Notamacropus eugenii: one gene and its partners. The protein of the gene in region 3 interacts with the protein of the main gene of each other region in a pairwise test. Links are inferred from orthologs where the notes say so. Each region holds a gene or a part of one and is shown on either strand. Other genes may lie near its edges. The genes, in order: CA1, ZCCHC10 and TFCP2.

What was found.
Region 1: the proteins of TFCP2 (region 3) and CA1 interact in binary tests that used the Homo sapiens proteins (3 or more experiments, as listed by UniProt). The two-hybrid records come from large-scale screens. The link is inferred for Notamacropus eugenii from reciprocal best matches to the Homo sapiens genes TFCP2 and CA1.
Region 2: the proteins of TFCP2 (region 3) and ZCCHC10 interact in binary tests that used the Homo sapiens proteins (3 or more experiments, as listed by UniProt). The two-hybrid records come from large-scale screens. The link is inferred for Notamacropus eugenii from reciprocal best matches to the Homo sapiens genes TFCP2 and ZCCHC10.

What each region holds. Positions count from the first base shown.
Region 1 is NC_092875.1:317,602,186-317,609,427, reverse strand, and holds the start of CA1 (carbonic anhydrase 1), read left to right. Parts: upstream 1-3,365; 5' UTR 3,366-3,436; coding exon 3,437-3,473; intron 3,474-3,933; coding exon 3,934-4,131; intron 4,132-6,719; coding exon 6,720-6,838; intron 6,839-7,242. UniProt on the Homo sapiens protein: Catalyzes the reversible hydration of carbon dioxide. Can hydrate cyanamide to urea.
Region 2 is NC_092872.1:345,603,886-345,611,127, reverse strand, and holds the start of ZCCHC10 (zinc finger CCHC domain-containing protein 10), read left to right. Parts: upstream 1-3,184; 5' UTR 3,185-3,254; intron 3,255-3,861; 5' UTR 3,862-3,908; coding exon 3,909-3,949; intron 3,950-7,242.
Region 3 is NC_092874.1:223,523,454-223,530,695, forward strand, and holds the start of TFCP2 (alpha-globin transcription factor CP2), read right to left. Parts: upstream 3,911-7,242; 5' UTR 3,597-3,910; coding exon 3,475-3,596; intron 1-3,474.

The DNA of each region.
Region 1 (7,242 bases), on a different chromosome or scaffold from region 3:
TTGACTACAGATAATGGATTTGATCCAAAAGGAAATGCGCCCTACCATGTTTTGATAGCTGGCCCACTGGAGGAAAGTGTTTCACAGATCAAAAAAGAAAATGCCAATTCTAGCTCTAGAATGTACTAGAGACGGTGAAGAAATAAACTTACAAACTCTCTTAATTAATTAATAAATCAGTCTTGCAAGGATTTTTTGAGGGCTTACAATGTGTTTACTGTTATGCTTAAATAATAAGGCATGTGAAGGAGAAAATATTTAATGTCTTAAAACAGACATCATCTTGCAAATTCCTTTCAGGATTCTAGTTTTCAAAGAAGAATCTGAGACCTCCTAAGACAGGTCAGAGGAGCCAGTTAAAATGATTTCTTGAGTAAGGTTCCATCTAAATGGAATCAGTTTAGAAGGGTGACAGGAAACTGGAGGAGGGAGTCTACGGTAAGGGAACAGCCATAAGGGATTTTCATCTTCCTTGCTAAAGAGAGCTTGTCCATCCATTTGGGGCTTAGTTAATCCTGGGGTCTATTAGACAGTTGTTTATATCCCAGTACACATATCATCATTTTGAATTATCTGATTTTCTAGAATCAATACCACTTCCCTAAAGACAAAAGGAAAACATTTTTTAAATTTATGGACAAAATATTCTGCTGAGCACTGTGCATCTACCCATGAAGGGTACTGTGTTCTCATTAAGCCTCATGACAATTATCTGAGAAAAGTTACAAAGAAGTATTTCCCTCACTTTAAAGATAACCAATCCAAGGAAAAAACAGGCATAAATAATTTGCCAAGGGACAGCCAGTCATTTATAGAAGAGATACTGGATTCCTAGATTAATGGCTCCCATCCTACATCCTCCTAATGATAAGGTCTTTCTAACCAGCAATTCCAGTTAGTATTTTGTTTACAATATAGCTCTTTAAAAATTATGAAATCCTACGTAACTTAGCAATATCTCCAACAGAGACTGCTTATGTAAATTGACAAGGTAATGAGCTATTAAAATAATTTATTTGGTTGGCTGAAAGTTTTTCTACTTGAAAAATATGTAAACACTAAAGGAAAAACACAGAAAGGCATAATGGATGATAATAGTAAGTATTAGCATTTATAAAGCACTTTAAGTTTCGTAAAGCACTTTACAAATATTATCTCATTTAATCCTCATAACAATCCTGGATGGAAGGTGTTATTACTGTTCCCATTTTACAGATGAGGAAAACTGAAGTAGTGAGAGGTTAAGTGATTTACTGAGGGACATTTGCCAATAAGTCAGAGGTGGGATCTGAACCCAGGTCTTCCTAATTCCAAGACTAACACTTGATTTATTGGGCAAAGTCCAACAGTATCATTTTACAGATAAAGAAAACTGAGACCTCAGGAAGTGACCTGACTTGACTAGTTAGTGAAGCTAAGGAATAAATTATTCCTAGTAGAAATGATTCAAATTTCAGTTACTCATCGATTCCCTGCTTTGTCCCTGTTTTTCTGTGCATCAGCAACAGTTGGGCAAAAGACTTTACATTAATCTTAGTATTTTTGCATTTTTCCCATTCACCTACATGCTCATTAGCCTAAATATGAATAAATGTATATTTCTTTCAGAGACTGCCAACTGGAGAAAGACTTCTTTAAAAAGTGATGACCATATGTATGGACTGAACAGTCAGTTTTGCTCAAGAAAAGCCATGGAAGTCATTTCTCCTGGAGAGCAGGAATGGAAGGAAAGTGGAATTATTATTTTTTGGTTTGCTGATGGATGAGAGCAGAGAACACACATAGAAATTAAATACTTGGAATTTGACAAATTCCAGACAAGACCACGTTCTTTCCAATATATCATGCTAAATAGCAGTAGTAATAGACTTACTCATCTCCCCTCTGAGTATCCTTGGTGCCAAGAAAAGATGGGCTTATCTTTTTAATTGAAAATTCTCTCTTTATTATTATTACATTAATAATATATTAATACTTTTAAACTTGACAATACCCACTACAGAGAGGGAAAGAGAAGAGAATAGTAATAGTCTATCTAACATGTTCCAGCATTCAGCATGATGAAAACAACTGCTTGGTGGCACAGCGTCAGGAAGATCTGAGTTCAAGCCTGCCTCAGACACTTTGTCCTCCAGAACTGCTTCCTTTCCTCCCCCATCATACCAGCGCATTCTGAACTAGAACTTCAGTTCTTCAGGTTCCAGTCTTCTCCCAGTCCCTGCCCTTTCTCTCGTTTTTCTTCTCCCCACAAACTGATCTTCCTAGCCCTGATGACAAGGGGAAGGATGAGCTATCCAAGGAATGCCCTGTGGAGCATCTCTGGAGCATTTCAGAATTCACTCTGTCCACCTCTTCCCTTTCTTTTCCTGGCCTGACTTCAGCTGAAACAGTCTCTGGGTCTCTTCCTCTGGAGCAGCTCTGGGTTGGAGGCTTTGATGACTTGCGCTGTCATTGCTACCAGAAATATCAACTCATTCCCAAACCCCTCTATCCCCAGTGAAGTGGGGAAAAGGAGTACCTCCAGAGGGGCACTCTCTGCCCCCTTACTCAATCAATGGATCTGGAGTCCAAAATCTCCTCAACAACAAAAACAAGCAACTAGCTGTGTGACCTTGGGCAAGTCCCTTAACCTCTCTGAGACTTAGTTTCTTCATCTGTAAAATGAGGGTAATGACAGCCACAGGGTTCTCGTGAAGATCAAATGAGATTATTTAGGTAAAGTGCCTGGTAGACCTTGAAGTGGTATATATTAGCCATTATTACTAAGTGTTTTAAAATCAAAATTATCTTGTAATTGAAAAGTACTACAGAGTTGTAGGGGTCACTAGGTTGCATAGTGGATAAAGTGCCAGGTCTGGAGTCAGGGAGATCCTAGTTCAAATCTGACCTCAGACACTTACTAGCTGTGTGACCCTGAGCAAATCAGTTAACCCTGTTTCCTCAGTTTCCTCATCCATCAAGGTAGCTGGAGAAGAAATGGCAAACCACTCAGTATTTTTGGTAAGAAAAACCTCAAATGGGGTCATGAAGATTCAGGCGTGACTGAAAAATGACTGAACAACAACAAAAGAATTGTAGAGGGTAGTAAAAGTTATATCATGAAATGTAAAGGGGGTAAAGGTTGAGTTGGGTGCTTTTTTTCTTCAGTTAAGATTTCTTTATTATCTATTATAATCACTATAGGGAAGGTAAAATACCCTAAAAATCAGCAGAATTTTGTGGGTGGGTGTGTTTTTTTAAACTGCTCATTTCTTTTTCATTTTACCTGAGTCATGGAAATAAGTCAACAATTCTTGATTATATTGGTACATGTGGAGCTGGGAAGCATCTATAAAAACCACGGGTGGAGGCACAGAATATACATAGGAGAGAGCCTGTGTATGACACTATCAGTCACTTTAGTCACAGCTGTGTTGGTAGAAGAAAACAGAAGGACATGGCGAGCCTGAACTGGTCATATGAGGGAGAAAATGGTGAGCATTCTTCTACCATTCCATATGGGAGGCAGAGCATTTATTCTCTTTTGAACATTCAGTATCTGGTAACATTAAAAAAATGGATTAAGAGTTATAGAGGCCAAGATAGGTGAAATAATATTATTTTTATAATGATAGTAGGTAACCATGGTGGTTCTACAAATTTGCTTGTCTTTTGTTTTCATGAAATGTATTTTATCCAGTTTTGTAAGGTTAGCAGACATTCCATTTTAGCATGAAATAGTGCAAAGAAAAAACATTCTCTGATGCTAGATTTTGACTTACTTGCATGAAATATTTTAAAATATTTGATATAACAAGATATTTAATATAATCTTTATATGTGTTAAGGAAACTTCTGAAAAGTAACAGAGGTAGTTTATAAAAAAAAAAATCAAGTGGAGATTTGCATATTTTTGCATATTTTGCATATGTTTACATATTTTTGTCTTTCTAGGGCCTGAAAACTGGAGCAAACTCTACCCCATTGCTAATGGAAACAATCAGTCTCCTATTGACATTAAGACCAAAGAGGTCAAACATGATGCTTCTCTGAAACCCTTCAGTGTCTCCTACAACCCAGCAACGGCCAAAGAAATCATCAACGTGGGTCATTCTTTCAGTGTAAATTACGAAGACAAAGATAACCAATCAGGTGAGCAAAACCATGCTTCTTCCTCCTTACTTTCCAAGGTAAACAGCAGATCAATCAATCAACCAATATTAATTTAACACCTCCTATTTGCTAAATATTCTGCTAAGTGCTTGATATACAAAGACAAAAGCAAAACAGTGAGGGAACTTGCTTAAATACTCACAGGGGAGACAGCACATATATATATTAGTGTACTAAAAATACATAAAATGTAGATACAAGGTAATCTTAGGGAGAAAGACAGCAGCAGCTGGGGGAACTAAGAAAGTTCTATTGTAGAGGAGGGAGTTTGAGCTGCCTTGAAGAAAACCAGGAATTCCAAGACGTGAAGGGTAAAAGGGAGAGAGAGCATTCTAGGAATGGGGGACAGGTCACTTATGTATGAGAAACAGAAAATAGGCCAGTATGGCTAAAATGGAATGTGAGTTGCAGAAGTCAGTTGGCAGAGTGGGCAAAGTCTTGTACTTAGAGTCAGAAAGACCTGAATTCAAATTCAGCTTTGAACACTAACTTTGTGACCCTGCACAAATCACTTAGCCCATAGCCTCAGTTTCCTCTTCTGTAAAATGGGGATAATAACAGCACCTATCTCTCACAGCACTGTTGTAAAAATCATTTGAGATATGAAAGCACTTAGCAAACCTTAAAGCATTTTATAAATGCTAGCTATTATGGAGGAAAAGGTTATGAAAGAAGACTGGAGGTAAAATATTTTTGAAATGTTTTAAATATCCAACAGAGGACTGTATATTTCATCCTAGAGGTAATAGGGAGAGATCATCCTCATCCTCATCATTCATATAGTGCCTATTTTGTGCCAGGCACTCAGCCAAATGTTTTATAAAGGCTGTTTCATTTGATCCTCAAAATAACCCTGGGAGGTAGATGTTATTATCATATGTATATATATATATATATATATATATATATATATATATAATTTTATATTATTCTTATCCCTATTTCACTGTTGAAGAAACTGAGGCAGATAGAGGTTAGATTTGTCTTGTTAGACTTGTCCAAGGTCACACAGCTAGTAATTGAAGATAAAGCTGAACACAGGTTATTTCTGATACTAGGCCTACATTCCATCTATCGGATGCTAGGCCTACATACTATCTACTGAGCCACCTAGCTACTGAAATAAGGAGCAGGGTGACAGTCTGAGCCTTTAAGGAAAATCACTTTAGAGGTAGTTGGACAACAGATCGGAGTGGAGAGGGAGCCCGATTATGAAGTGATTACAATAATCCAGGAGAAAAATGCAGAGGGCCTGAACTAGGTTGGGTGGATTTATAGGAGAGTTTTTGTAGAAATAGAAACAACAAAATTTGTCAACTCTTTCGATAAATGAGATGGATGAGAATGAGGACATCATAGAGATTGAGAACCTAGGTGACTACAAGGACCAAGTTGCCATCAACAGTAGTGGGAAAGTTGGGTAGAAGGAAGGACTTGGTGGGGGTAGGGGTGGGGGTGGAGAAAGTATAATTAAGAAATACAATAGCCAATTAGAAATATATTTATTCTGTAGCACATTATACACAATGCTAAAAATTATCATAATAAAGTTCTATATAAGGTTAGTCCAGGGATGGGGAATCTGCAGCTTTGAGGCCACATGTGGCCTTCTAGGTCCTCGGGTGCAGCCTTTTGACTGAGTCTAAGTTTTACACATCAAATCCATTTATAAAGGGGATTTGTTCTATGAAATTTGGATTCAATCAAAGGGCTGCACTGAGGACCTAGAGGGCCACATGTGGCCTTGAGGCCACACGTTTCCTACCCTTAGGCTAGTCCTACAAAAAATTATAAAGCTGACAAAACTGGTCTCTTGGGCTCTCTTGTCTTTTCAACTCCACTCAGTGGTCCTTTCTCCCCCTGCACAGAGCTTTGAGTCCATCTATGTATTTTTTTCCTACTTTTCTCCATCAACACCTGCTCTCTAGAAAGGATCTGATTAACCCAACACTAACGGGCATGTGATTAACATGATTTAAAGTATTGCTTTCCTCAGGAAAATCTGCATTTTTAACAAGGCCAAAGAAATAACTTTCTGGTAGTAGAATGTGAAGCATCAGTGACGAGGCCCAGGAGATAATTGTTTTTGGTTCAGGAGTGCTTTTCAGGCACCCCTAAAATCACAACTAAGTAGTTGCCTACTGCAAGATTGGTCTAGGTTCTAGACTTTTTGTACAAGCCTCTCAACATACACTTTAGGTGCATCATTGGCCTTGCTAACAACATTCTTATTGAACATTGGTGCCTGTTTAATTGACATTTGTATAATAGGCAAAAAAAAATTGCAAATAGATGATGGAAGATACAAGCAAATGAATGAACAAATAGATGAAACACATGTTAATCAATTGCTATGTGCAAAGCACTATGATGAAATAATTTTTTATGAAACAACACAAGTCAATAACAAATTAGAGGGATTAGCAATCCCTCAGATCTTTTCTTTTTATCCCCATACTTCATCTACTTCAACTCTACTCCCACTTGAAGTTTTAACCCTGGTCCAACTTCTGCTGATTGGATTGGGGTTTCTAACTTGTAACCAGATGCTTTCTTTCTCATTCTAGTACTAAAAGGAGGTCCACTTGCTGGAAGCTTCAGGCTGCGGCAGTTTCATTTCCACTGGGGGAGTGCCGATGACCATGGTTCTGAGCACACAATAGATGGAGTAAAATATTCAGCCGAGGTAAAATGATTGCAAGAGACATAACAGTATTATGGGAGCAGCTTCTGAGAATTAATCCCCTGGTTCCTCCCACTCATCTCCCAACCCAGCTGAGTAGATTTTTTAAAAGTGAATGCTGTCTCCCTCAATCTATAGAAATCACAGGCAGTGCTTATACATATATATGTGTGTGTGTATATATATATGTATATATATGTATGTGTGTATATATACGTGTATATATACATATGTTATCCTTCAGAGAAAGTAGGATGGTAGATCAATGTTTTGAAAGACCCATGATTTCAATGATGTGACATCATGTCCAAAAATACAGATGAAACTTTTTACCAGACTTACAGAAAATTATTCAATTGGATGATTTTTAAAATATGGTATCCCCTCCAGATACTTTTGAGTATTCC
Region 2 (7,242 bases), on a different chromosome or scaffold from region 3:
CTATGTAAAAGCAACAAACCTGGAGAAAAAGAAAAGGTTCACGGGAATAATAGGATGATATTGTCATTATATCGTAAACTTTCTAGACAAACTTTAGATGCCTTCATGTAAATCATTTTAAAGTCATTTGATTATTTGAATGTTACTGTTTCTTAATATTTACTAAATTTACAATTCTCTTTTAGCCATTTTTTAATTTTATTTTTAATGCTCATTTAAAAAAATTTTGAGTTCCAAATTCTCTCCCTCTCTGCCACCTCTTTCCCCATTAAAAAGGCAAGAAATGTGGTATCAACTATACATGTGAAATCATGTAAAACCTATTTCCATATTAGCCATGTTGCAAAAAAAAAAAGGCAAGAAAAAATAAAGTGAAAATATGATGCTTCAATCCACATTCAGACTCCATTAGTTCTTCCTCTGGAGGTGTATATCATTTTTCATCATAAGTCCTTCCAAATAGTCTTGGATCATTGTCTTGCTCAGAGTAGCCAAGTCATTCACAGTTCTTCATTGTACAATGTTGCTGTTACTGTGTAGCTTGTTCTCCTGGTTTTGTTCATTTTTCATTATCTCGTTTAAGTTTTCCCAGATTTTTTTCTAAAAATATCCTGCTTGTCATTTCTTATAGCACAATAATATTCCATCGCAAAACTATGCCACAACTTGTTCAGCCATTCCCCCATTGATGAGCATCCCCTCAATTTCCAATTCTTTGCCACCACTGAAAGAGCTGCTACAAATATTTTTGTACATTTAGTTCCTTTTCCTTTTCTTTTGATCTCTTTGGGATACGGATCTAATAGTGGTATTGCTGGGTTAAAGGGTATACATGTGAACTTACAATTTTCTAAAAAGAAATAGCAAGTGACAATGTTGAAGAAGCAAATGGGGGAAAAATTATGTTTTTATTTTCACCAACCTCTAACTGAAAAATAGCATTTCCTTGGATTGTAAATTTAAAAAAAAAACTATTCCAGGAGTCCACAGGCTTCATCAAAAGAAGTCAAAGAAGTCCAGGATAAAAAGCAAAACAAAAAATAGCCAAACAAAGGTAAAGAAACTCTATTGTTTCTCTGTAAAAGAATCTACAGGTCCCTTTGAAATCTTTGCTTGTTTTAAAAAGGATTAATTACACAGTTTTGCAACAAGTTTGTCAGTTATTGAGATTGCTTTTCATTTTCAACTGTACTTTCCTTTTCTGTTTCATTGTAAGCTCTGATGATCTTTGAAACATTTGATTCCCCAATAGCCGCTACAATGTTTCCAGTGGTCATGGAAACGAACTTTCTTTCTAAGAGTTACTCTTTTGTACATTTCCTTGGAGTAATATCTATTCTTTAAAACCACAGAATTAAAAACACAGCAAAAAAAAGAACAATGAAACACTAGTGTATCCAACAGTCAACTGATAAAGAAATAAGTAAAGGTTTTGGAAACCAGATCAATCTAGTTTCATCTGGTCAAGGTCATATATTCCGAGTCAGTCTGGTATCAGAGAAAGAATACAAGCATTACTAGTACTGTCAAAAAGTGAAACCATATCAAAATTCACTTACCACTGTTTATGTTTGTCTATACATATAGATGTATTCTGTACATGCCTGCATGTGTATAACTTATCTCCCCTTAGAATGTAAATTATTTGAATTCTGGGACAGCTTGCTTTTGTCTCTGAATACCAGCACTTAACCTTGTGCTTGACGCATAGCAAGGCTTAATAAATGCTTTCTAATGTAGAGGAAATGTACAAAACCTATGTGCTGTATTGGGAAAATATCTCCCCAGAAATACCCTTAGAGTTCAAAGAACATACTCTGAAGAGTTGTATAAAGACAGACCCTCATTCTGATTTCTTCTCAAAGGAAAGACTTCACTAACCATAGATCTTCAGTCTCATCTAGATTTTCCGATGATCTGATGAGATTAACTACAGGAAAACACCCCTACCTAAAACAAATCTGATTTGGGGCTACACCAAGGTTACTGAAAAATTAAGACATTACCTATACCTGTTGAGGTTTATGGATGCTCAGGATCCCCAAATACCGACATGCCAGGTCCTGTCCAAATGAGTTCAACTCAAGCCTTCTTTCAGCCAAAGAAAAACTAAGTTTAATATCTGCCATATTGGGTAGATTTAAGGAATCTGAGTATTTGTGACGCTTGTATTGATAAGCAAGTCTGACAGAATCTGGGTTAGATTGAATATGAGCGCCTTCATGGAGGCAAAATGCATCTTATATACAAAAAGATTGTGAGTGGAATCTAGGGTTGTCCAAGTAGTCTGGGGGAACTAGAGTAAGGATTTAGGGAGGGTTTTGAAGAAGAGTCTAAGGAGGAGCTTGATAGAACTGGGGTGACTAGAGGTCAGAATCAAGAGAATGGGATTTTGATAGGATCAAGGCTGGGAGGTAGCCAGAGACAATCTGGAGGTAACAGACAATGGAGGGCTAGCCTATGTTAAGGGTAACAGATTTGGGCATGAAAAGCCAGATCAAGTGGAAAGATTCAAGGAGAATTCAAGGGGGTTCCCAGAGTCTATACCCCATCACACCCAGAAACAAATTACCTAACTTCCTGTCCCTATTACTCAACCTCAGAAATAGGGAAAGTGACTGAGCAGCCTCACCTAATAGACTCCTTTTGCTACCTGCCCTAAAGTTGTGTAAAACTGTGTAAAGTTGTGTGTAAAAAAAATGTGTGTATCTTCCTCTATTCTTAGGAGTTGTTGGTCACTTGGCAACTACCCATCAGCTAATGCTAATTAAACTCTATCCTCTAACCTTGCCTCTAGATGTATTGACTTTCAGTCAAATGGATTTAGGTAGGAGAAATTATTCTCCAGGATGAATTTAGGATCCCTGGGCTAATACGTTTGATTTAAGGTTGGATTAGAGGCCATGATGGTGCATGTGAAAAACTTAAAAAACATCCTGGGATGCTTTCCTCTTTCTTTTTACCCCAGACACTGGAAAGAATTACAATTTTCGGTTCAAGTCATGGGGAGGGGAGTAGGGGAAGAGATATGTGGGGACATGCCCATTCTGTCTGGAGTTTAATAACTTACACTAATAATAGGATAAGTTGGAACGCTAGGAGTGTGGAGGGTGGAGAGGGCAACACACCCCAATAAGGGAGGAGCAGTGGTTACAAGATACACCCCATGGGAGGGAGGAGGAGAAATAGAAAGAGGGTAGAGAAGAGGAAGAAGGCAACACTGGACGCCCAACTGCCCCACCACTAGATTGTCGGTACGTAGCCTCGGTCTAGGAAGGCAGAGAAGAGGGATCAGAGAGAAGGGAAGGTTAAGTAGGATTGAGCTCCTCCCTTTTGCTACCAATTACGCGGTTTTTGGATTTGTGTGGAACTCCCCATCACTCTCGGAAGCCCGGGACACGCCCCTACAGAGGAGGGAGGGAGAGAAGACCGGCCAGGGGTGGAGGATGGACAGTGACAATGGAGTGAATAGAGCAGAGGGAGGGACATATAGGACACGCCCCCTGAGGGGAGGGAAAGAAGATAGGACACGCCCCTTGTCCCAGGAGCTCTGCCCCCTTCCCCTCCCTTCTGGGACCAAACTGACAGGTTTGAGTTTCCACTTCCAGAACCCATTAAGTGTCTTCCCAGTTTTCATTTCCCCCAAAGCACGGCAACGATGCCCAGGATTCTGGGTCTGGAAGCCAGGGTTGGCCGTCTGTCTCCCCAAGGAGGGCTCAGGCGGATAATATCCCCGGTGTCTACTTCAAGTCCTCCCAGGCCCCGGAGGAAGACTGCGTCCACCAATGCGAGGCCTGGCTGCCCCTCTAGCCACAGCTAGTCCCGTCTCTATGACGTCTAATGAGTTCTAGTTCCACCTAGGGGGAACTTCCCAGGATGCATCGCGGCGGTCCCCGGTTCTCGCTGACATGGCGACTCCCATGCATCGACTTATCGCTCGGAGGCAGGCGTAAGTGAGCACCCCCGGCGGCGTAGGGATTTTTCCATTCTATTTCCCGTAGCCAACCTAACTTTCTTTGAGGACCCTCAACGGCCCTGGGAAGTGGGGTTCCCTCTCTTGGGGGGGCATTGAATGGGGTGAGCCAAGGGGGTGGAAAGGGAGACAACCTAGATGTTGTGGGCCCCGGGAAGAGGGAGAGTGGCCTACGTCGGAGAGCCCCCGGTAGGCAGCTTGGGGAGGTGGAGCGCGGGAGGCCTCCCTTTAGCAAGGGAAGGAACGTCCGAGTTTTTCCAGATAAGAGTGACGTGAGCAGATCTTCGGTGGTTACTGAAACAAATGTCTTTGTACACCCCTGTCAACACTACTGTTGGCTCCAGTCCGCGGCTTTACAACTTGTCATTATTTTCTTTTCATCTTCTCTCACTTTATAGAGGATGATGGAAAAAAATCCCTAATTTAGAGCTTTTTTAAAGCAGGGAAAATTACATGAGGAATGTGCTTGTTAGCTTCAGTTGCCCTATTTATGATTCACAAAGCAAATGTACTATTGAGGATTCTAATATTTAACAGTAGGTAAAGGATAAGGGCTCACGAAGAGTCGAACACGACTGAAAATCGACTAAACAGCAACAAAGGATGTGATCGTGGGAAATAAATATCAGTTCGGTAAACCCAGAAAAAATAATTTGTAGATCCTTGGAGTCTCATTCTAAAAGAATAGAACTTGAAGAAGCTGTAAGATTCTTAAAAAGTTAGTATCGCTTTTTAAAAACAAATATGAGTATTCTGATCATTATGTAAATTGTAGACTTAGGAAGTTTTATTATTATTATACACATAAATCTTGTATGAAAGAAGTAAACATAACTATTTTCCTTTATCATATTTTGACAAATGTAAATAGTCTCATTAAATTTATTTTGGGGAGCTTTTTGTTTTTTGTTTTTCATTGTGTAAGTACGACAAAATATGCGCAAGTATAAAGTTGTACCTGTTGAATAAGTGGGCAGAAAGTTTACAAATAACACTTATTTGGAATTGAAATAAGTTAAAATGTAGTCATACTTTATTTACTGTCACTGTACTTCCAGAACTTGAATTGGAACTTTAACTTGAAAAAATACTCCTCTTTTTTGTATTTAAAGGACGCATTATAAGTCATAAAGGTCAAGTCAACAAGCATTTATTAAGGGAAGGGTTAAGAAATCCTGAATGGTAACACTATTTTTTGGGGGGGTTGGTTTGTTTTCAGTTCTGTCTGACTCTTCCTGACCCCACTTGAAGTTTTCTTGGCAAAGATCCTGGAGTGGTTTGTCATTTTCTTCTCCACTTTATTTTACAGATGAGGATTGAGGCAAACAGGGTTAAGTGACATGCCATGTTAAGTGTCACACAGCTAGTGAGGTTGAATTTGAACTCAGGAAGATGAGTCATCTTGACTCCAAGCCCAATGCTCTATCCATTGCACCCCTAGCTGCCATAAACCTTAGTCTTTTCAGGACTATCATTCCTAAAACTAGGATATTATTCAGTGTTCTTTTAGCTCATATTGTTCTAGCTCACACAGGCTCACACTATATTATCACAGTTACTTGAAAAGAAGCTCAAAATTTCCAATAACATGATATAGGGCAGGCAACAGTAGGGACCAGCTTGGGCCCTAATCTTGGCTACCACCAAACCTATTCCAACTTCAGCTTAAATATAGAAAAATTTTTCTGGCTTTTTTAGGGTTAGCTTCTAGACTCAAACCAAGTTTGTTGGGCCGTGTAATTAAACTGTTATATGCTAAGTTCAATTTTATATACTATAACGTGAAGGACAAAAAAAAAATACAGGGTATAGTCCTTATTCTTTAGGTATTTACCATATCAAAAATTTTTAAGCAAATAATATGTATTAATAATTAGTAATATATTATCAGATGTTTGTGTAGTTCAGATATGCACTCTAGGAATTCAGGAAATTAAAAGATTTAGCTAGTATAAAAACATTGGGCTCTCAACTGAGCTTTGGGTGAGAAATGGAATTTAGATTGGTAGAGATGGGAAGGTAAGCCATACAGGAACAACAGTTTGAATAAATGAAAACACATGTGAACTTGGCTTGTATGGGAACCAGTAATTGGATTAGCCTGATAAGAATGATGGGAAATGGAGTTTTCTAAGTTAAATGGGTTCCACTGTTAAAGGCTGTTTCAGAGGAAGAAGGGATGAAATTTTAGAAAACTGTATGAAAACTCCAAAACTTAAAAATTTACTCATTTTGATAGCTGGATAGATCAATAGATCTCATTTATGTTGGTATTCCCTTCACCAGTGCAGATTGCATACCTTCTTTTCCTAAATAATTCTTTCCTGTACTTTAATACTTCAGTGAATTTGTATTCTGCTTGATGCGGGTAACCCTCCAGAATGCAGATCATAACTGTTAATGCCCTCTCATTATGTGTAACTCTTATCCATGTCATCCCACAAATCTTCTATAGGAGTTCCATGAAATGTTTAGGGGCTTTCCCTTAAATCTCCTGTTGATTCATGGATACCAATGCCGTACATCAGTCATCCATCCCTTGCTCTCTTGACATGACTTGCCCATCTTTTCTTTCTAATGGCTTCTTTTAAAGATCCTCATCCATGTCTTCCACAGGTGTTCTTTTGAGGGTCTGCCTAATGTAATGAAAGCTTTTTTCTAGATCTTTTAATATTTCATGAATATCATTATAGTGCATAGTGTCCGTTATTTCTCACTCTCCCAACATTAGTAGCTTTATTCCTTCTAAATCATACATTTACTTGATAATCTTTCATGACATTTTTGTGTGCAAGTCATCATTGGCAATATCCTACTATCTATTTCAGAAAAATCTTTTTCAATTAAATATTTATTAATGCCAGCAACATGAAAGGGATTATTCTTAGTATCAGATATTTTAAAAAAACAGCCCTTACCTTCATGGAGCTTACCTTCTTCTGGAGGAAGATACAAGATAATTTGATAAGGGAAAGGCATAAACAGCTGGGGGAGTCAGGGAATATTTTACTGATGAGGTGCCATCTGAGATAAATCTTGAAGGAAGACAAAGATTCTGAGAAGTGGAGATAAGGGAGTGACTTTCCAAAGAGTGGAATATGTTTTTTACAATATACCTGGTCAGAAAATGGAACATCAAGTTCAGGGAAGTCTAATTTGGCTAAAACATAGGTTGTGAAGAGGAGTAATGTTGAAAGTATGAAAAAGTAATTTGGAGAAAGGTTGTAGTAAGGCTTAAATGCCAGGCTGAGAAATTTTTATTTTGAAGG
Region 3 (7,242 bases):
GACCACATACTCTGGGATCCAATGGCTCCAAGAAGCTCCATTTCCTAACTCCCAGAATTTTCACTTGTTATTTCCTATGCTTGGAATTCTCTTCCCCATCTCTGCTTCTTGGCTTCCCCAAAGTCTTAGCTAAAATTTCACCTTCTGTAAGAAAGCATTTTAATCTGCTGTAATACTAGTGTCTTCCCTCTCAGACTACCTACAATTTATCTCATATATATATATGTATATATATATATATATATATACACATACATATACATATACATATATATAGTTTGTACATAGCAGTACGCATGCTTCCCCCATTAGACTCTGATGTGAACTCCATGAGGGCAGGGACTTTTTTTTTTTTTTTTTGCTCACCTATATCCCCAGTGCTTAGCACAATGCCTGGCATATAGGAAAAGTTAAGCAAATACTTGTTGATTTGATTTGACTAACCTAGTGGTAGTATCAGGCATGAGCCCAATCAAAAGAGGTCAAGGAAAGAGGAAAAGGACTCATATGAACAAGAATATTTACAGTGGCTAAGAGGCACAGTGGATAGAGCTCTGGCCTTGAAGTCAGAAAGACCTAATTCAAATCTTGCCTCATATAATTATCAGTTGTGTGACCCTGGGCAAGTCATTTCACCTCTTTGCTTCATTTTACTCGTGCAAAAAAGGGGGATAATAACAGTACCTATCTCTCATGGTTGTTGTGAGGATAAAATGGGATGTTTGTAAAGTGCTTTGCAAACCTTAAATAAGTCAATATATTAAAGAAGTTAGTTACTATTATCATTATAGCAACACTTTCTGTTGTAGTAAAGAATAGTAAACAAAATGGTGCCCACCAATTGAGGAATGGCCAAACAAACTGTGGTATATCAAAGTGAAATTCAAAGTGAAATTGTATAGCACCATAAGAAGTGAAGACTGATCAATTTAAAGAAATATGGAAACATACAAACTGAGATATAACAAAATGAGCAAACCAAGGAGAACAATTTACAGATGGTTACAATAATAATATGCTGAAAAAAACAAACCTCATGAGATCCTACTTATCTTCCTACATCTTCCCTCTCTTTGTCAGCCAAACTCATAGAAAAAATTATCTATACTCCTTAACTCCACTTCCTCTCCTCTCCCCCCCTCTGCAATCTAGCTCTGGTTTGGACAGCATCATCAATTGACATTGTTCTCTCGTAAGTTACCAAAGATCTTTTAAATCAAAACTCTTAGTCTTTTCTCAACCTTCATCCCTCTCAGTCTCTTGGCTTCATTTGACTCAACACTGGTGAACACCCTCTTTTCCTGGATATTTTCTTCTCTTTGGATTTTCATGTGAGAAACTTCTCTCCTGGTTTTCCTCTTATGTGTCAGTCTTCTTTATATCTAATGATGTGGATTGTGAAGCACATCACTGCCTTTAACTGTTCCCTCTACCCTAGGCCATCTTCTCTACTTCTTTTATTTGGTAATGTCAGAGATCGTGTGGGTTTAATCATCACCTCTATGTGTGCATTTGACATATACATACACGCGTATCTGTATATATATTCCACCCTAGTCTCTCTCTTGAGTTCCAATGCCACATCACCAAGTGCTGAGTGCCCATTCTAAACTGGGCATCTCAAGGGCACATCAAGCTCAAGTCTTACTTGCTTCATGAATCCAATTAGTTTTCAAGCAATGTTTCTACTTCCACAGTATCTACTGCACCCATTGCCCTTCTCTTCACTCACACAACCATCGCTGGGTTCAAACCCTCATCATCTCTCACCTCACTACCGCAATAGCCTCACCGTAGTTACACTTTACTGTTCACATGTATTCTTGCTATTCCTCATACTCCCCACTCCATTTCTCATCACAATGTCTTTGCACTGACTGCTCATCTGTCTGACCACTTCCTTACCTTGGTCTCTAAGGATCCCTGGTTTCCTTCAAGACCCACTTTTCCTCATCCCCCCAACTGTTAGTGCCTTCTCCACAAAACTGCTTTGAATGTATGTGTACCCCTGTTATTTCTTCCATTATAATATAAGCTCCATGAGTAAAAGGACCGTTTTGCTTGTTTTCTTATTTCCAGTGCCCGAAATCACTTAATAAATGCTTTCTTGGTTGAGAAAGAAATAAGTAAAAGAATATTTCATGAGGAAAAGCAAAATGCTAATCTTTCATTTATTCAACAAGCATGTACGAAACAATTACTACATACCAGGTACTATGGATAAAAAGATTGAAGCCAAAACAGACCTGCTCCTTAAGGAGCTTCCATCACTCGAAAACACAGATATAATTCTTAATTAGACATGGTCCACTGCTAGGCAAATAGCTCAAGCAGATCAAGACAGGTCTCGTATACAATAATATATTTACAGCAGCACTTTTTGTGGTACCAAAGAACTGGAAACAAGAACATTTACAGACCAGGTGATGGTAAACAAACTGCAATACATAACTGTGATAGAATATCACCATGCTGTAAGAAATGACAAGGATGATAAATATGAAGAAGTGTTGGAAAGACAAAATGATAAAAAGTGAAGCTGAACCAGGAAAACCATATACATAACAACAATGAAAATGGAAAGAACAAAGTAATTGAAACTGAATTACAATTCAGTAATATAACTATAGCATAAAATTACAATGACCAAGTTTGGCCTCCCCCATGCTTTTTCTTTTGTGCATTTGTGCAGAGGTGGGGGAGACCACTGCACAAAAAGCTAGATTTTGGGGGGATACGTTGGCTAGTTTGGATGAACTCTTTTCATTCTTTGTTAAAAGGGATGGTTCTCTGGGAGGGTTTGGGGGAGGGGTACAGTGATAATGAAAACAAAATATATTGGCAAATATTTTTGTGAATTACACACGGAACAGAATTTGCCTACCCTCAGGCAAATGAAATGCCTTTCATTAGGGTGTAGCACGCCTTCCGTTCCCTTTCAACAAGTACTCGTTAAGAAGTTACTTTGTGTCCAGCCGTCCAGCAGCACCTGCACGTAAGCCCCAAACCCAGCTCTACTAACGAAGTACACGGACACTCGGCACTGCCCCACTAAACCGCAAAACCATCCATTTCTGCATTCTGATTAAGACCTCCCTCGTGCAAGATGCAGGGAACTTCCGAATAACCTTTCTTCACTTTTTCCTTTACCTCTAGCACCCAAAGCAGGGGGGAAGGGAGGGGGTGGGAGGGAGGGAGATGGGGGTAGAGGGGAAAGATGGGAGAGAAGAGAGCGAAGGGAAGAAAAAGAGGGTGGAGAAGAGGGAAAAGAGGAGAAATACATGGAGAGAAGGAAAAAGGAGGGGGGGAAAGGGGAGGAGGGAGAGGAGAGAACAGTGCAGACCCAAGTTAGAGCACCCACACCCAAAACATCTCTACCATTCTCACCTACAAGACACTTTCTCAGGGAGACCTTTTGTTACCCAGACCACCCAAACCCCACCAAGGCCTGGCCCGCGGGGCCAGGTCACTCACCTCATACTATAGGCCCCCGCGCCCAGCTCCTGACCGATCCCGGACAGACTGGCGTCAAAGTCCTGCACCAGCCCGGACTCGATCACCTCGTCGGTGAGCGGTAGCTTCAGGGCCCAGGCCATGCTGCCTCCTTCCACAGTGCCCCCTTGGAGACGGCGGTCTTCCTCGCGCTAGGCAGGGGCTCCGCGAGCACCGACCCGGGCGGCGGGGCTGCAACTCCGCCCCCCGAGCCGCGGCTAAAGGCAAGTTCGCACACGCCCACCCGGACCTCCACAGCCCGCCTTCGGCCCTGACCTGCCCCTCCCGGGAGTCTGGGCCCCCCTGCCTGGTCCCTGGCTCGGGGGAAGCGGCGAGACCCCTCGGGGCTCCTCCAGCGCACAGCCAGGGCGCAGACACTCAGATCCGGGATCGCCCAGCCGCGGTGCCGCCCCCAGCAGCAGCCAGTCCAAGGCCTCTGGGCCCGGCCCACGCCCCCGGGCAGATCTACCCACGGGTCTCCCGGTTCCCCACCCACCCCACCCCCTACCCTCCCCACAAGTATCCCACCCCTAGCGGCCTGCTCTCTCCTCTTCCCCCTCCACAGGCCTAACTTCCGGTCAGTCCTAGTCTCGCTTCCGGTCACCCTTCCCCGACCCAGAGGTCCCCTCAGAACTAAAGTTAGAATAAATTTCTTAGGAGTTGTCCCCGCTCACTTCCCACCCCCACCCTCACCCAGCCAAACCCCTAAACCCTCCCCCTACAGCACAAAGCGTGGAGAAGGACCGCCAGGGCTCGCCTCAAAACTCAGCCCTGCCGAGGCCCCACCCCGCCGCCCGCCTCGCAGCACCCCCCACTCCCCGCCAATCATTGCTCCGCCTCAACACCCACCGCTGCCCGGCTAACCAATCCTAGTGGGTCCCTCGGAGTGGGACCGCCTCAGCTCCCGTGACGTCTCTAGGCTCTCCCCAATGAGGGGGCGTGGCTATCACTCTCTGCGGCAGAGATTGGCAGTTTCTCCCCAGTTCTCCGCCTTCGGGGGCGGGACTAAGGGGGTTTGAGAAGAGAGCGCTGAGTTTGGGTACCCGCTCAGTCGGTCCAGGTCCTTCTCGCTCCTCCTCGCTACGCTTTATCTTTCTCTACCTTAATCTTCCCTCTGCGGGTCATAAGCCCTCCCAAGCCTGGCCCTCAGCATTCTTAACCTAAGATCCGTGAACTTTGTTTGTCTTTTAAACATTTTTATACCTAGGCAGCTAGGTTGCTCACAGTGACTTAAGTCCTGGATCTGGGGTGAGCAAAACGTGCGTCCAAATCATGCCTTAAACGCTGGCTGTGTGACCCTGCGCAAGTCGCTTAACCCTTGTTTGCCTCAGTTTCCTCCTCTGTAAAATGGGGGTGATAATAATAACAACTACCTTGCAGGATTATTGTGAAGATCAGATGAGACAGTAATTGTAAAGACGCTTAGCACAGTTCCTGGCACGCAGCACTTGTAATACTCTGGATATTTAAATCCTGCCTCAGGCTCTTTCCAGCTGTCTGACCCAAGAAGGGTCACTTGACTTCCTTCAGCCTCAGTTTCCTCATCTGTAAAAGTGTGTTATAATAGCGCAGGGTTGCTGTGTGGACCAAAGGAGGCAGCCCTAGATTTCTCTTGTGGTCCTGTGCATTTTATTGGGTGCATTTTTACATTTTATGAGAAGGAGTTCACAGGATTCACCAGACTGCCAAAGCAACCTGACAAAAAAGAGTGAGAACCTACCTTTATATACTATGTTTATGGTCCCAGCTTTCAAACCTCCCAAGGAAAGAAGCTCTAGGCTCAGCGCAGGTGGAGGTATGGTGGGGTAACTCAATTAGCTATACAAATCAGGAGATCATAAGAACTCTGGGGCTAGAAAGTCACACAGTCCTGGTCACCCAGGTAGAGGCAAAGCTTGGTCCTAGGTGCTCTGACTCCAGAGTGCTTCCTACTGTACTACCCCAACCTCAAACAACAAGATAGGGGTTCTGCCTCTCACTAATTTTCTGTGTGATGTTCAAGCTTCTCTGTGTCTCGGTTTCCTCATCTGGAAAATGGAAAGGTTGTAGTATATCAGAGGTTCTTAACTGAAGATCTGTGGACTTGTTTGTATTTTTTTAAATATTTTCATAACTTGAAATATAATTCGTGTCCTTTATAATTCTGTATTTTATTTTTATGTACTTAAAAGCATTCTTCTGAATCCATGGATTTCACCAGATTGTCAAAGGAATTCCTGAAACAAAAAAAGGTTACGAACCCTGGACTAGATGATCTCTGAAAGTTCTTTCTAATTCTAACATTCTATGATTCAACCTTTAAAGTAGGGGAGCTTCAAGGAATGAGTGAAGTGTCCCACAATGAAAAGAACTGAGATCCCAAGACCTTTCAGAAACTAGCATACTAGTATTCTGTTCTTTATATATAAAAAGAAATGGAAATGATTGTTATCTAAAAATCTTCTAAAAGTTTTTTTTTTTTTAATGTATAGATGATTAAGTTTAGGTCAGTAGTAGTATAGTCTTATTTGGACAATGGCAAGGTACTATCATCTACTTATGGTGTGACGTGTACTGCTGCACAGAATGGTTAAGAATGAAATAGTCCCTAATATAAAGTGCTTAGCACAATGCCTAGCATATAGTAGACATTTAATAAATGTTTATTTCCTTCCTTCCTTTTGGAAGTCAATAATCAAACATAGTCATCTTCTCACTCCTTCCATCCTCCTAGGGTTTTGAGGGCAGAACTCTTATTTTTGTTCAGTGGCATGCCCAAGGAATGAAATCTTCTAGAAACAATAGAGAGGCTATCCTTTATCTTCAGGCTTTACCCAGATTCAGAATGTTGATACAGAACTGACATGATGGGCTTCAGGAAGACATTTTCAACTTAATTTTCTTGATCTTTATGGTGATCAAGATGATGTTTCCTAGAAAATCATTCATATCTATGAAAAAAATATCAGATGAAACACCTTCCCTGTGTAACTTGCCTTTCAAAATTTCATCCCTATGAGAGCCTGAGAAGTCACCAGAGATGCTACAGTCCTCAGGATATCGAAAGCAGTATTGCCTTCAAATGAATTTGTGACAAGGATGAAAGCAGATGTTGAGAAATGGAACAAGATGTCACATGAGGTCATATCACTTGATCCTGCCCTGTTGCTTGATGTTAGATTTTGCTATGGAGAGAGACTTTTGGTCTACTATTCCATGTCATTCTTTCCATGTGGCCAAGAACTTACCAAGGCTTACAAAATTAAGAGTTCTGGGTGAGTCAGACAAGCTGAAACTAGTTTCTTCTTCTGCAACCTTTGCTGATACAACTTAAGGTGAGCATGATAAAAGATAAACTGGGACAAATTTTGGAGACTTGTAGTATAGAAAATTAGAACAGAGAATAGACAGACCCAGGAATTGTTGTGGCCAGAGAGCAATGCTAGACAAGACTAGTCATTGTGTGGGTGAGAGACCAGCCTTGCTGGTATTCTGAAATCGGCTGCCATGAATCCTGGTGCTTAACACCATTTTCTTCATTTGTTTGTAGAACCGAACTTAGTGAATTCCAAACACAAAATTTATTCTTTGGCCCTTCAATGAGCTTAGGAGGAGGTTGTCAGGGTAGATGATTGGATAGAATAGCTTCTTTATAGTTTTCCTCTGTAACAATGCTTTTATTGTTATTTACTTTACTGCATTTTAAAAGTCACGTGGCCAGCCCCTAAAAGTCAGGATATTGATGAAGAGTTAGAGGATTCTCAAATGGAG